Arabidopsis thaliana: one gene and its partners. The protein of the gene in region 2 interacts with the protein of the main gene of each other region in a pairwise test. Each region holds a gene or a part of one and is shown on either strand. Other genes may lie near its edges.

Evidence for each region. The genes of interacting proteins can lie anywhere in the genome.
Region 1: the proteins of AAP5 (region 2) and AT1G63110 interact in a protein complementation assay, tested with the Arabidopsis thaliana proteins (one large-scale study listed by BioGRID).
Region 3: the proteins of AAP5 (region 2) and PAP3 interact in a protein complementation assay, tested with the Arabidopsis thaliana proteins (one large-scale study listed by BioGRID).

The regions. Positions count from the first base shown.
Region 1 is NC_003070.9:23,402,905-23,408,633, reverse strand, and holds AT1G63110 (GPI transamidase subunit PIG-U), read right to left. Parts: upstream 3,947-5,729; 5' UTR 3,765-3,946; coding exon 3,611-3,764; exon of another isoform or gene 3,522-3,610; coding exon 3,474-3,521; intron 3,397-3,473; coding exon 3,336-3,396; intron 3,222-3,335; coding exon 3,189-3,221; intron 2,997-3,188; coding exon 2,872-2,996; intron 2,757-2,871; coding exon 2,622-2,756; intron 2,542-2,621; coding exon 2,465-2,541; intron 2,387-2,464; coding exon 2,130-2,386; intron 1,965-2,129; coding exon 1,908-1,964; intron 1,805-1,907; coding exon 1,636-1,804; intron 1,531-1,635; coding exon 1,473-1,530; intron 1,399-1,472; coding exon 1,313-1,398; intron 1,219-1,312; coding exon 1,162-1,218; intron 970-1,161; coding exon 877-969; 3' UTR 515-876; downstream 1-514. Other genes in the region: AT1G63105 (uncharacterized protein), read right to left, coding at 4,125-4,493.
Region 2 is NC_003070.9:16,763,871-16,769,363, forward strand, and holds AAP5 (amino acid permease 5), read right to left. Parts: upstream 3,816-5,493; 5' UTR 3,354-3,815; coding exon 3,266-3,353; intron 2,850-3,265; coding exon 2,616-2,849; intron 2,569-2,615; exon of another isoform or gene 2,389-2,568; intron 2,315-2,388; coding exon 2,221-2,314; intron 1,980-2,220; coding exon 1,607-1,979; intron 1,435-1,606; coding exon 781-1,434; 3' UTR 522-780; downstream 1-521. UniProt on the Arabidopsis thaliana protein: Amino acid-proton symporter. Stereospecific transporter with a broad specificity for glutamate and both neutral and basic amino acids. Reduced affinities for asparagine and valine.
Region 3 is NC_003070.9:5,056,566-5,061,654, reverse strand, and holds PAP3 (purple acid phosphatase 3), read right to left. Parts: upstream 3,073-5,089; 5' UTR 2,976-3,072; coding exon 2,688-2,975; exon of another isoform or gene 2,270-2,687; intron 2,183-2,269; coding exon 2,026-2,182; intron 1,930-2,025; coding exon 1,822-1,929; intron 1,726-1,821; coding exon 1,598-1,725; intron 1,295-1,597; coding exon 1,166-1,294; intron 1,072-1,165; coding exon 1,004-1,071; coding exon of another isoform or gene 1,000-1,003; exon of another isoform or gene 890-999; coding exon 667-889; 3' UTR 515-666; downstream 1-514.

The DNA of each region.
Region 1 (5,729 bases), 6.6 Mb from region 2:
CCTCCACTAGTTTCTTCCCATCTGATGAAATCCAAGAAACAAAATTACAAAATCAAGAACCATTAGTTGTCTTAACTTAACAGATGAAAAAGGAGTAGTTTCAAACTGTATTTTGTGACTGAGCTATGAAGGAAAACTGCAGTTTGAAGTTTGAACTTTGCTGAAGTCAGCTCCGATACACAACCGCATTCCATCACCAAACGCCATGAAATTCCATCACCACACGCCATCAATACAATATATAATACCAAGATATGCAATCATGCATACATCAGCTTCATGCAATATATGCATAATTTTTAGGAGATTTCAGATGTCACAAGATCGAATTGAACATATATTTTCAACAGTGTGAAATACAGTTATACGGTTAGGGTCTGATTTTTGTTTTTGGTACCACGTGGGTTTTACAAGTTTTTATGATATTACAAATAAATTAATAATGCATCACACTTCATTTATTGTGAATGGGTGACTTTTAAGAAAACAATGACCAAACACCACCCAATAACCTTCCTGCACTGTGTCATTTAGGCCTTAATGGTGCAGTGGATAAGGATAAAGTACGGGACATAGACAATGCCTTTAATCATCCACCATTCACAAATGATAATACCTTGTATACATGCGATGTAACTTCAAATATAGGGATGATTGTGTGCTTTGCGGATCAAAACAAGAACTTTAAAACCTCTCGGTAAAAAGTACAAATTAATGGTTACTCTAAACGGAAAGGCACAGGAGATTTGTTATTTATATGATGTTCTCAAACAAAGAAAAGCTACTCACACAAATCACATGTTGCCAACTTTAAGCTAAAGACCCAACTCTTTTCTTTACGTGTAACAGAAAAGTGGCGCAATGACCTTCAATGGCTTAGCTCTTGACTTCTCGATGGTTTGAGTTTGATCTCTTCAGCGCCCTGTCATGGTTTAGCATTGCGCTTACGCTCTCAACCACGAAAACGATCTGTAAAGAAAAGCAGAAACCCGTATGCGGGTTTTAGTCAAGATAACCCAAAACTACAACATTCTTTGATCAATAACTGATGATCTCATCATCCTCTGCTTGATATCATCAAATTTTGTACTATATGAGTATCAACTCCCAACTACTGAATAGAATAATGAATTTTGAAATGGATCCAGGCCTATATTTTACCTGAAAGCACGCGTAGCCGATAGCGTTTCCAAAGTAGAAATTTGCATTTCCGGTTCCCTGTCATGAAAAAATCAAAGGTAGTTGTGATCATTAGAACATTTTGTTGCAACTGCTGTGAAGAGTTGGGTTATGGATTTGAGTAGAAGCTTACCCGCCATATCCAGAGATTGTGCATCACAGGGCTGAGGAGAGAGATCCCGAGATATCCACAGAAGAGGAAGAACGAGAACTTCATATCTATGTGAAACAGAAGCAGAGTTTATATGCAAAGGCTAAACAATGCTAAGAGGATGTGAAGTATTTGCTTTTACCTAATAACTCATTGACAAACAATGCCCATAAGCTCAAGTATAACGCCGAATCTCCGACCTATTGAGAGTAAATCAAATGATGAAAGCATTGTTAACATTTATGAATATAATTCCTCAAAGAAGAAAAGATAACTTCAAGTTCACAGTGAATTCAACTACTTACTGAAGGATAAGATTTAAGAATCGAGGAGATCGCTAAGTATATGAAAGCCAGGAAACATGGCCGATGTTTCAACCTTATGGCTAAGGGCAGTAACATGAACAGAATATTTACGTGTAAAACTATCAGAAAAAAGTTTCTGAAGAAGTCGAATACTTCTGCAAAGAAGTACCTGAAAACGAGATTTAAAACGAACAGTAAATAGTCTTTTCATAAAAGAAGGGATCCCTTATTCATCACCCAATGATATCACCATATTAATTTATTTTACTTACCAAAAGACTCCAATGTTTGGTGAAAGATCTTCAATACTAAGAATGAAACCATACGTCCTACAATAGGAGGCAAAGACAAACAAACATCAAATCGCCTAAACACTACGTTGCAAGTTCTTAATAAATAATTATATGATTTGGAATATAAGTTATAGATATAATATGGCTAACGGAAACTAATCCTATAGCGGTTATGAATAAGATTTCTAAGTTAGAGGCTACCTCTTGAACATCTCCTCAAGCCCACCATATTTATTCAGTGATAAGGCACATAAAATCAACACATAGAGTGACCACAGAAGTACCCAGAACAAGAAGTGTGCGACTGTTTTCCATAAGAAAGGAAGGTGCGTAGTCTGTTTCAACTTGGCTTGTTTAGAAACAGTAGAGGTTGAACTCTCCTCATTTTCTACACTTCTGGTCTGAAGGAACAATTTTATAGGAGGAGCATCCAAACCATATCCCAATAGAAAGATTATCTGTGGGAAATGCACGAGCAGTTAGAATTTGTTTAATTTGAGAAACGTGAAAAACATAAAATAAGAAATGATACATACTGGAATTGTCAGAGTAGCAGGATAAAGAGATAAATGTGTGGCAATGACTAAGCCAAATGCTGCCAGAGGAACTCGTCCTGCATGGGTAGAAAACATCAGTTATAAAATTTCAAGAAACTATTGAACAAACAATATGCAAGTATCATCATCTTCTTACGTGTAACTGCTCCAAAAAGCGCCAATATGACAGCCAGGTTTTCGATGGGAGAAGTTGATAAGCCCACACAAGAAACTATCGTGAAAGGATTCCACAAATACACAAGAGCAGCAATATCACCACAAGGTAGGATCACTGAGGAGACAACGAAAAAGGAGAGATCAATATTTGCCTTCAAGTAAATAGTTACAAGAAAAGAGTAGAAATAAGATAGATGATACACAAAATTCAACAACTGACTTCAATCTACCTTTATCCCTTGATGACTTAAGAAAACCAAGTAGTCTCGCATTCAGTCCATAAGCCATCTGGAGTTTCTGACCAATAGCTCGAAGAAGCATTGCACTTAATATATCTGCAATAACAAAAACCAAGCTGTATCCAAGAGAATGTTGGTAGCAACGACATGACTATAAAGCTCTTGATGAATAGTAAATCATTCAAAGATCATCTCTTTTCCAAATTCACATCTCACAATCTAATCCTACCTAAGATTTTAAGCTAGCTCAAATCTGAGAAGAAAGAAAAAACATGTGATCACAGAAATGAAGGGACACTGAAAAGTACCTGCACAAGAGGTGACTTGGTTGCCCTTTAATCCTGCAAACACACAAATTGTCTTCCAATAAAACTCAAGTGGGAAAAAATCATGTTTTCATATGATTCAAGCTCAATAAATCACAAATCCTAATATCAAAATCGATTAGTCACTACCTTTGAACTGTGAGAGGTCCAAGAACCGAGAGCAGCAATGGTGAGCCATGATACATAGATCCTGCTCAAATATGTACAACTTCAGCTTCTAATAGCCTAAGAATCCAAATTTACAGAGGATCAAATCTTAAGATAGACCTGCATATGGTGACATCGATGCCTGCTTCAACCAATAACCTTCAGCAACTGAAAATGTTCATACAAAACGAAGAAATGTGAGCTGAATTCGAGATCTTAGAGAGCTAATGAGGGAGTGAGAAAGAGAGAGGAGATACGGCGGCGAATGCTGGTGAGAGGGGTAGAGACCTCCGGACGGGAAGAGAGATTGAGATTTCCCGGGAAGGAGATCAAGATCAATCGGAAAGCAATGGAAGATAAAGCCCAAATCCAGAATCGGCTTAGCTGCTTCATTTTCTGCTCCTCCGCCATTTCTCCGTCGTCTTTTCTTCTTCTCTCTCTCCGGCGAGTGAAGAGAGACGACTCAGATGAAACGACGACGTATTTGATATGATCTTGTTAAGGTTTGGTTCCGGTTTGATTTTTTCGGTTTATGATCCATTTATAATTCGGTTTGATTAATGTAACTCTATATCGGTTCGGTTCGGTTTTTGTTTGATGCATTTCGGTTTCGTGTTTGTGTGATAAACATTTTTCCAATGTAAAATATCATATGAAGAATAATCATATATTTACTTTTTTATCTTGTTGTAATTTTGAAGAGAACACTAAATACATATATTATGCTTCGTTAAATACTTATGTGCTTATTAACTTTTTATGTTTACTTAATTACGTTGGTACGTTGTGTGAACTGCTCTCTCCTGCTTCGTTCTTTGCTTTCTTCTTTACTTCCTCTTTCCTTGCTTCTTCTTCTTCCTTTATTGCTTCATCTCTAGCTTTCTTCCTTTCCTTTGCATCAACAACCGCTTTTCGCATTATGTCTAGGGCAGTTTTTGATTTCTCAAAGACATCATCCCCCATCTTGTCTACCTCGTCAAGATCTCGAAGAAAATTAGGATCTGAATTTGTACTTCGTATAACTCCCACGCGATATGCAACATGTTTAGCTGTGTTGATGATTTCCTCCATTTGTGAAAGGATCGGGTTTGTCACGGCTTTAAACGCTTCGTCTCCCAAATCTGTGTTAGTGGCTTTCATGTAAGCTGTATAGAAATAGTCTACATTCGTCCTTGCTTTCTTGGCTTTGGTGTTTATCTCTGTATAAATAGATTGCATCTTAAGAACCAAAAACAAAAAAGAGTTATTGAGTTTTTTATATAATACGAATAAGAGCTAGCTAGAGAGAATTGTGATGATGCACATCCTATATATATACACACGTTTAACAACTTGATTAGCAAGTTCAATAACTATCGCAAAAGTGCTTTATTCGCTCATAAGTCATAATCAACCTCCCAATTTTTTTTTAACAAAGTATAGTTTATGTGTACACGCTTAATTAAGCCACCCTCCCAAGCTTAGTGTTTTTTTCTTACTTTTTATTCATCAAACTCAAAGGAAATGAATGATCTAATTCAAAACTAATTATACAAATGGAATTCCACAATGCACAATGAATGGTTAACGTGGGAGGGAATTATGTACCTTTATATCGTTTAAGAACAATCCTTTTAAGATACAATTATTTTCTTATTTGCATTTGGTTTAGCTTTCATGCAAAGTTTATTTTCTTTTTTTGGATAACGACTTTTATGCAAAGTTCTCTATTAATATAGCTCTTATCCTGTTATATCATCTGTATATTGTAGCATGATTTCTTACAGAGCACATGATAACAATCCAAAATAAATATATGTGTATATTTGTGCTAAGTGTATCTATATATAATTATATATTATTCATTAATATATATGTTAATATCTACTTTTATGTGTATAGTTTAGATTTTGTACATAGATTCAGATTTGATTTTTAGTCTAGTGATTAACTAGATTATGTTCATACTATTTTAGTGTTTCCTAGAAAATCATTACAACCCAAATACTTATCTAAACATCTTAAGATAGAGTTTTAAGATGTTAAACCTAAAAGGTCCTAGTGTTAATGAATGAAAAATATCAATTATTAGGGAAAAGATACTAGAAATTATATACATCTTGAATTAATCATTACCATTAGATTAAAATGTATTTCTAAATAGTTTCCAAATATTTACCCTATTTCTTATTCTTATTTATCAGTAAAATTAGACAACATTTTGATACAAAAAGAAACACATTTTGCCCATCTTTATTAATAGGCTTATTAAAAAAAGGTTTATTAAAAAGCCCATTATATTTGCTAGTAAAGCCCATTAGTTTTGAAATTTTGTAAGCTCTTTATGTTTGTGAAATCTTGCTTATTTGTTTCATAGCTATTCTTTGGTTGCGAATT
Region 2 (5,493 bases):
GTGACATTGGTGTGCGTTACTCTAAATTCTTTACCGATCGACCCTAATACTACTTTGATTGCTTTGCACTTGTAGTTTAGGAAATTAAAACTATATCATCATTGGTTGAGTTATTTTTTATATTATTAAAGTTCTTGAGTATATATAAAACAAAAGAGTTGAGGTATCAAAAAGACACCAAGCATGTGATATTATTCTTAAGTACTTTCACTCATTTGATTGTATAGCTTTTGAATGTAACTAATGTTATTTATTGTGTAACTAACTGAGAATTCATCGATTGCTTTGTAAAAGAAAGATCAGAATATTTTCAGTGTCATATCATTATTCTCGATTTGCTTTTGTTAAATTTTAATTATTGTTTTGTCAAGGTAAACATTGATTATCTTATTTGTATGGCTTCATTAGGCATTGTTAGCTCAATTTTATCTAGGGGATCTTTAGTTTTGGAGAGTGTTTACAAGAAGATAAACGATTTAAGAATTTGAAGAATTTTGGAGATAAACACAAAACATCTTGTAGCTCCTTTGGTTTATAGACTTCTAAAATTAATTATAAGTATTAAATGTTTAATACATCTCTACTACCTCAAGTGTCGAAAAAGCTATCCTTATACATGACTACTTTTAATCATTGATAGTTCAATGTTGTAAGAATTCTCGGTAGAAACATGATTTATAATTGAACACTTACACAAAGTTAACTAATACAAATATGACATTAAAACATTCAATTCTAATCTTAACCCTTTTAGCAGGAGTTTATTTTTCCCGTATGATCTCAGAATTCAGACTGGAAAGGTTTGTAGACCTTGAGATCACTAACAATGCCAATAACAGATCCCGCGGCCGCGGCTACGGACACAAAAAGACATGTCACACTCAAGACTTGTAGACAAACCCACTTTGTGCCCCATCTCGGAACATTCTTCTGTGCAATGTACATTTCCACTGGGAAATAAACCGTTAAAGGCCAAAAACCAATGGCCCCCAAGAGACCGACTACATCGTTAAAGAAAGGCATTAACATTGAGATCAACGTTGTTGTCATCACGAAGAACGTCCTCCATACGAGCCTGAAGAGATTCAAGTTAAAGGGCTTCCCCGGGAAGAGTTGGATCTTGATCTCTTTTGTGACGAATTCGCTCTCTGGAAACCTCCTAGAGGCTTCCTTCTCGACGAAGGCAAAGAGGGGTTGGCAATAGACTTGGTAAGCACCGACTAGATGGATCACTATAGCGAGATTAGCAATGTCAAGCAACCAATATGGGTTTCTAAACCCTCCATGAGCGAGGAGATTTCCGGGTGCGTTATCCCCAAATGCTGCATACCCTACACAGCCACATAGCATGTAGAAGACTGTAGTCACTGCCACACTTACAAAAGTCGCTTTTCTCATCGTGTTTACTTCGGCAGGCGGTGATTTCACCGTGTCCTGGATCATCAAATCGTCTAGTTGATTAAAACATCCTTTAAACAAACTCTTATCACACAAACTCGCTTAACAAATAAACCAAACGATGCACTAGTTGTAACAACGTTATTTTTCTTTTGAATCTAACTTAACATTATTTTCAAAAAAAAAAAAACTCGCGTAACAAAAATACCTGAATTTCGATGAGAATCATCGAGTAAGAGTACGCAAACGCAATGTTGCCAAGAGACTGAAATGTTCTCCATATTTTCTGCGACGATGTCACTGTCCCACTCAGTGTCACTGTCCCAACAGTGACTCCAGTGAGACTACCTTTAATTTCTTTGTTCTCTACCACTTTAGAGACACCAAGGCCAAGTCCAATGGCAGAATAAGCAAAAGACATGACCGCAGCGACAATGGAAAGCCACCATAACTGATCAAAATCAGGAATCTGAGAGAATATGATTTGTACAATACCAAACGCAATCATGTAAACATTTCCATTAACATGACAAGGATCATTTGGTCCATTCATCTGTTGGCAACTTGTCCTTTGGATTGCTCTGTAAATTTTTTATTCAAGAAAATTAGTTAACAAGTCAAACAATAATAGAGCCGTTCTTTCGAATCTTTAATGGCACAAAACAAGACTACATTGACTAAAACACTGCATTATTGAGCCAAACATTAATGACTTGTATGGACAATATTGAATAGCAAAATAAAACACGCATCTAACTTTTTTTGGACAAATGTGAACAATTAAAATAAAAAGAGTTTTGTGAAAGCAAAGTTTTAACTTACACCAAACTTATAGCTGATGCAATTGTATATCCAATTGCTGTACCAAATAGATTAACATATTGCACAACTCCACATACTTTCACCTTAATCCCACCTAAAAATGAATCAAGAATGAATTAAGTTTTTGATGATAATAACTATTGGGATATGGAACCGATATGGAGAACCAGAGATCGACAGAGATCAACGGTTGAAATGACAAGGCCAAGATACGGCAAGAAAATATTATTCTAAAAGATAAATGTTAAACTTTCTAAACTTCAATATTAACATTTATCTTCTAGAATAATATCTTTTTGTTATATCTTGGCCTTGTCATCTCAACCGTCGATCTTCGGTTCAATATCCCAATATATGCACCAAAAAGAAACCGAAATGATTTTTTTTTTGTTTACCGAGGTTGGAGTGAATAGCGTCCATGTAAGTGTAGTTTCTTTTGCCGGTAACAGAGTCACCAGATCGGTAACAAGAACAGAGAAGGGTAGATGTGTAAAAAGTAACGAAAGAAAAGAGTAACATAGCCACTGGACCACCAATCCAACCAATCTGAGCAACGGCCCATGCCAATGACAACACTCCTGACCCAATTACTGCTGTTATTATGTGTGCACTTGCTGTCCACACCGTCCCTAAACACCAATCACATTCAAACAGAATTTTAAGACAAGAACTGTAGTAACAATAAAGTCTGTTTTGTTTAACCGTTAATTTTAAGACAACAACTGTAGTAACAATAGTGTTCATACACTTTAGTAACAAAAATCATACTTTTCCATAACATCCACACAAAAAAAGAAGTAGGAATTTGTCACCCCTTAACAAACAAAGCCTATGCATATATTTACTGTAGATGTTTTAAATTGCAAGTTCAACAGACTCCGGGTTTCGGTTTGTATCCCGAAACCCGGAATTAAAAAAATTCCGGGTTTCGGGTTCAAATCCCCGGTTATAGGAAACAGAGACTAATTTTATATTTACTTTGATTCTTGTTTGAACAGATTAGAGAAACATAAAACATAAAATTAGAGAAAAAAAGAGAAATTACCGGTTCGCTTGGGACGACCATCATCATCGAATGAATCCGAGCTATGTTTCGGAAGAACATCCAAATCTTGAACATTCTGAACGACCATCTTCTTCTTTTGGTCGACAATAAGACCAAAATTTACTAAGAAGAATCCAAACTTTACCGACAGGAAAAACGGTTGAAAAAGTTTTACTTGTTTTGTGTTTTCTCGTATAGATCTTGAATTTTTTTAAGACCAGAAGAAGAAGTGAAATCAACGATTATTCAGCGAGAAGAAGAATGATTTTGACCAAATAAAATCAACGGTGACAAGAGACCGATGTTTTCTATGGACCAGAGATTATATAATTGGAAGAGAGTGAAAGTATAGGAATTGACAAAGTAGAGATTAGAAATGCATGATAATATAAATACTGACCAAAGCTTTTGTTGTTTCACTAATTTATAAGCACCGTGGAAGACGGAGACATCCAACTTGTAAGAAGGAAGAAGCAGAGGAAACCGCATGTGCTTTTTTTTTTTTTTTTGTGAGGACTACAAAAATAGTTTATCTTTTTATGAGAAAATGGTTTCATTGTTATACATTAGTGACAACAAGTGCAAAATGTCAAATCTTATAAATTACATATAAGCTAAACAATCAAACTAAATTTTAAGATTTTTACCTTTAAAATATAGATATTTTAATTTTAAATTTTAGAAACAATGATTCATGTCCTTATAATTTAAGAGTATTTGAGTAAATCAAAGTAATTTAAGAAAATATATAATTAGAGATATAGTAGTTTTTATTATTATTGATTATTATGTTATATGTACTTTTGATGTCAAGAGAAAGTTGAAGGAAGATTTAACTTTTGAAATTCGTTATATCATTTGTAAATGAACGATTTGGTGGTATACTTATATTAATATTTTAGAATCATTTATCATAGGCATTACTCAAAAAAAACAAAATATATTTAACATGGGCATGTGTTCAACCATAATTATAAACAAATTGATAAAGTATATATTTTATTAATTTGTTATTTAAATAATTAACGTTTACCATGGACTTCTTTCGTCTATATCTAGTATATTTCTAAAAACTTTCGGTTGGTTTTGAGGAAATGAAAGTGGAAACTATGTATAGTGGTGTTTGCATGTTATGAGTTTGGTCACATTATATACTCTTTTTTGGTTGATAGGTTCTCACAAATTGAAGTTACAAAACAATGTTAAATATTCTCGATTATTTTCCATTTTATTTGTGGAGTTTTTGTATGAACATGCAAAATACACCTCGATTAGATGAAGTTTTTCAACATAACATTGCTAGAATTGCTAGGATTAATCTCAATTCTTAAAAATTCCATAAAAGCTAAACATCAAACCAAATTTTAAGATTTTTACCTTTAAAATATAGATATTTTAATTTTAAAATTTAAAAACAATGATTCATGTCCTTAATTTAATGAGTATTTGAGTAAATTAAAGTAATTATAATTAGAGATATAGTTGTTTTTTCATTATTATTGATTATTATGTTATATGTACTTTTGATGTCAAGAGAAAGTTGACGGAGGATTTAACTTTTCAAATTCCTTATATCATTTGTTTTTTTTTTGTCAACCGGAATTAATTAAACTCAAACGAACCAATTCCGAGGAATTAAAAATAAAGAGATGCTAATAAATTTTTCTTTCTCGCTCTTAAATTCTTTCAAATACACTGGAAACACCGACCATTCGGTTGGAAAATACACTGTCGTTATATCATTTCTAAAGAGTATAAATGAACGATTTGGTGGTATACTTTACTATTTTAGAATCATTTATCATAGGCAATTAGATATTATTTTGAAAAAGAAAATATATTTAAAATTTTGATGGGCAAGTTTTCAACCATAATTACAAACAAATTGATAAAGTAAATATTTTATTAATTTATTATTTAATAGTTATTTAAATAATTAACGTTTACCATGGACTTCTTTGTCTATATCTACTATGTTTCTAAAAACTTTCGGTTGGTTTGAGGAAATGAAAGTGGAAACTATGTAAAGTGGTGTTTGCCTGTTATGAGTTTGGTCATATTATATATACTCTATTTTCGTTGATAAATTCTCACAAATTGAAGTTACATAACAATGTTAAATATTCTCGATTATTTTCAATTTTATTTTTGGAGTTTTTGTATGAACATGCAAAATACACCTCAATTAGATGAAGTTTTTCAACATAACATTGATAGAATGGGTTTCA
Region 3 (5,089 bases), about 12 Mb from region 2:
TTAATAGAATGACTATTATATTTCTTTTGGGAGATAATTTTGGTATGAGCAAAAGTGTTCTTGCGATCAAATATGAGAGATCCGGGGCTTGTGAAATTATGTGACAGAATCTCATCCACAACATAGAGTTGTATATCATTTATCTTATCATATAATCCATAATTCACTATAACTTATCTATATATATTACATGATTGAAGAGAATCTGAGCACAGGACAAAAGACATGTAACAAAATCATTATCTATCTTTATAGATGAGAATCGGACCCATTTTGTGTCCCTACAAACTACACAAGAGTACTGTATGCACGCATGCTTCGGGAAAACTTGTTAATCAAATTGGATAAGAATAACGAAAATTAATTAACTTAATTAATATGGAAGCGTAAGAGAGGATGATATTTACATTTTAATATGCTTAGATTCGATATGTATATACAGTATATGCATGCAGTATTTCTAGTTAATCTCACATCTTACAAATTTTCAATAATATCTTGTTTGAAACTGTACTTTTACGCAATAAAGATTTCATTGACTTTTTTTTCTGATGCTGCTGATATGTTCTTGTCATATCATAATGTGATTCGAAAATTCGACGAAGTACGATATTGATAATTTCATAGTACATCGATCATAAACAATTACGTCCGATTAAATTGGAATCAAGAAGCGAAATAAAGCGCCTCCTTGTAAGTCTTCTTCCAATGATGCAGAACGTGTCCAAAAACATCATAAAAGACTACACGCAGTTCAGCTTCTGAAACGTGAACCGACATGAAACCTTGTCCGTCGTAGTAAAACCTCATCTCTTCTGGTTCAACGTAGTTCACGTCACCTCCTTTCCAGGCCTTGGATCCACCTCCACTTGTCATAAATTGTATGTTACTATATGCAACCAAAAATGGTGACATTTTATATCCTCCCGTACGTGGACCCTTACGTTACAATAATTGATTAATAAGAAAATAATTAACGAACAAATAAATAAATTTATTCTACCTGTCCACGCTGCTTATGTGCTCTAAGCAATGATCATGTCCGTTTACGTAGAGATCCACTTCATTTGCCTAGTAAATCGAGAACAAAAAAAACAGATTTAATTAGATAGATTTTTTCTATTGGTGCATAAACTTTATTATATGAATGGAATGGTTTTGTTACTTGGAGAATAGGTAAAAGGTGTTTCTCCAACTCAATGGTGTTCCCGTGGTGGCCTGCGCTTTTGATCGTATGGTGACCAATCACTATTTTCCACTTTGCGACTGACTCTCTCAACGCCACGTCGAGTTCCTATATTATTACATTATAGCTTTCGTTAGTCACTCGCTCGTAAAAAGAAAAAAAGTTGCATTGGCAGATTGTTCTCTAATCATATCGCATTACATACCTAATTAAAACGCGATTCCATTTGAAAATAGACAAAATAAAAGCTGCGTTTAACATCCAATCATAACTTTATAAAAAAATCCAATCATAACAAAAGAAAAAGGAATGTTTTGCCCAAAACACGTATATAATGACGTTCCTAAGTTAATATTAATTCTATTTCGACGAAAAAAGAAAGAAAGGAAGATTTACTTAAAAAATTGTTACCTTTAAGAGATTATTCAGATATGTTTGCCTAGGTAATACACCGCTCCAGTCATAAACATGCTTATTTGGTTGAATAAAGTATTTATCGACGAACGGAGTTGTGTCGACGAAGAACAAATCGACGATCTCTGTTCAGTTAACGAAATTAACAAAAATAAAAAAATAATTGGAGGATTAATAAAATATTTCTAACTTTTGAAGAAATATTATATAGGAGGAATTACCAGCATTTACAATGAAAGATCTCATGCAAACCCATCTGTTGTCCAGAGCTCTGAGCATAGGGCTAAGTTGTGCCCTGACGTCACCTCTATAATCATGATTTCCTAAAACTTTAGGTTAAAGAAAATGTAATTAACACATTGAACCACATATCGTTTAATAATTAAGATCCAACGACGAATGTACACATTGAACCACACATTTACCACTATACCAAGGTTTCTGCAAGCTCGGAGCGGTATAAATGTTGGTAAAAGAATCTTGAAATAGAGGATCGTGCAAGCTGGTTAAACCATTGTCGTAAAAATTATCTCCAGTAGAAATCACAAAATCGATATCTAATTTCTCTCCGATTTCTCCCATCTGTTTAAATTTCGTGTGAAATAATTTAGCATAAAATAACTAAAAACAACAGTATAAAAGAAAACATCAAACTAGCATAAAATTTACCACATTGAGTTCATCTGCAAAACAACAGTACAAACAAAAATCATATGTAGAATATCTTCGTACACTAAAGCTGTTTTCTTAACACAGACCGAATCTTTCAAGTTCCTCTAACATGACTTTCTTTCTTTTTATGGTATCTTATAACATGGTGTTCAAGAATTAGTAATATATATTGAAATTGAATAATAATAATAAAAAAAAGAAAAAAAAAGAATAATATAAAAACATAAGGGCCGGCATTAATATGAAGACCAGTAAATTTGATCCTCATATCACGTATGCTCTTGAAGGCATACGCATATATATGTTTACGTAATACGTATTAATTATACACTATTGAATTTGCATTATATATTTATATATATGCGTACAGGCGAGAAATATAGTAAATAACTTGTAAATGAAAATAAGAAGTAACCTGAAGAGCTACTTGGGACTGATTATAGGAGCCTCTTCTTCCCCAGTCTCCGATAACGAGAAAGCTCACTGTACCATCGGTTTTTGATGGCTGCAGTAGCCTGCGGAGCTCCGCCGTGGAACTATGGGAGGAGAATATAATAATCAAATTATAAACGTAAAATACCAAATTTACAGGTTTGTGTTTTAAGGTAGCCATTGAGAGATTAGAAAAGCAAAAGAGGAAGAAGATAAGGAAAGGAATGGTTGATTTTGTTGTGATCTTTGTGTCTCTATATATGTAGGTCATTTCGAGGTTGATAAATATGAATAAAAATTATTTGCCATTTTGAGAAATGTAGTCCATTTTTGTTTTCTATTTCAATCTTTTGATTTGTCAATTTTATTACAATAATTTGAATCGGTAATTTTTTTGTCACCCACTTTTTCAGATATTTATCAATAACGAAATATAATGACAAGATAAATTTAAATAAAATAAATAGCGGTTGAAAATTAGCTGTTGAAATATTTTAAACATAAAGAAATTGGATATTGACAGTTTAAGGATATTTGAAAATTTCTATTATCAGTGAAAATATACGTAAATTTCTACTACATTTTTATTTCTAACATTATACATAAACATATTATCTAAATTTGGATTATGACACATCAAACAACAGTATGCATACAAACTATTATTACACCGTGAATTCTGATCACACAAATTCTTTCTAAAATCGCATTTTAAAAACAAAATATACTTGAAAAAAATAGAAATAAAATTTACGAAGCTCGGGTATGTGCGTTGTCATACAAGAAGAGTAGAAGACAGCATAAACGCCCATGCCACAAATTTGTCGGAAATTGCAATTATTAGCTTTGAGTCACATTATTGATGTGAGTCTAACGAAAACTTCCAAATTCTCTCAATTATTGTTGACCGTTAGTTATTTTACAGTATAGTTCTGAACATAAAATAATGTGAATAGTTTACTAAATTCGTTCAACATATTAAAGAAAAATCAAAATCCCATTTATACAAAAATTTGAAAGTATATCCTTACTGGATATGAGAAAATAAATGCAAATGGGTTGGCCTATGTTATTGGGCCGATACCCATTTCTCTAATGAAAAGAAAGATCTATAAAAACAAACTTCTGCTTCTCGACTAGGACATTAATTCTGAGGTATGACTATGAAGGTATCATATTATTTTGTAATTCTTGGCCAAAACTTGTCACCTGTGTGTTTGTATGTTCTTACAAAAGAGAAAACTAATGAGCATTAACTTCTGCAACGTTTATTTTACATGTTTGGTCTTATTGCTGATTCAGTCTAGTTCGTCGAGTATTTTGAAAACAACTTGAGGAGTTAATCAAAAGAAACAAGCTTAATGTGGTATATATGTTCCTTACGACTATAGTTCCTATTAGTATGATGTAGTCAGCAAGATTGACTTATGATGACTATAGAAACTTCACTGAATATCTCTGGTGGTCCTAGACAGTCACAGTGTCCTACTGTATCTTTAGTTTGGTTCGCCAAGTCTAGTATCGGACCGTATAGATAGAGAGATGTCAATTGTGTTTATGTGTTTTTTTTTTCTCTCTGAAGCAAATTGATTGATCGATTTGTCAGCAATTCCTTTCGAGTCAAAAGTTTTGACCAACCAGCTTCTTCGTGAAACTCTCTAGCTGTATTCACACATACACACACACACCTAACAAAATTATTGAAACAGTGGGTTTGATGTAAAGCCTAAATCATTCAACCACCTCTCTCTATTTCTTTTTTGTTCTTTTTTTCTATGCAACATATGATTATATATTAGATCCATGTGATATTGCTTGAGTCTTTAATTTAAGGCTTTATAAATAGAACAAATATAGGCCTTTTTAGGTCAACACGTGTGTGTGGAAATGATGCTAATGCTTCCAAAATGAAACAGAATAATGTCGTCATGAGCTACTCATTTACAAGAGGATTGTTTTAGTGTTGGATTGGCTAATAGACTTGGATCGATATCTATAATATAGACCATATATATAATATGTTTAGCCTAAACAATGATATATATGTCATGTGACACTTATGTGTTTTAGCAATCACTAAAATAATGCAAACATTAATACATGTAGGTGAGTTGTGAGTTCAAATAATATTAGTCAATACTCAATAGTCACTGTAATTGATATTTTGAATGGCTTATCCTATGAAAATTTAGTACTTTCATAGAGAGAAAAAAAAAACAAATGTTAATCTAAAGACGACAATTTAGATTTTAGCAGTCGCACCAGAACTAGTACCAGGAAACATAAGATAATATATACAGGACTAGCTACTTCATTATCTTTACGTAGTTTATGACAAAGATTGTTGTATAATCTTCATCAGCTGACTTCTTTATTTATGAATGA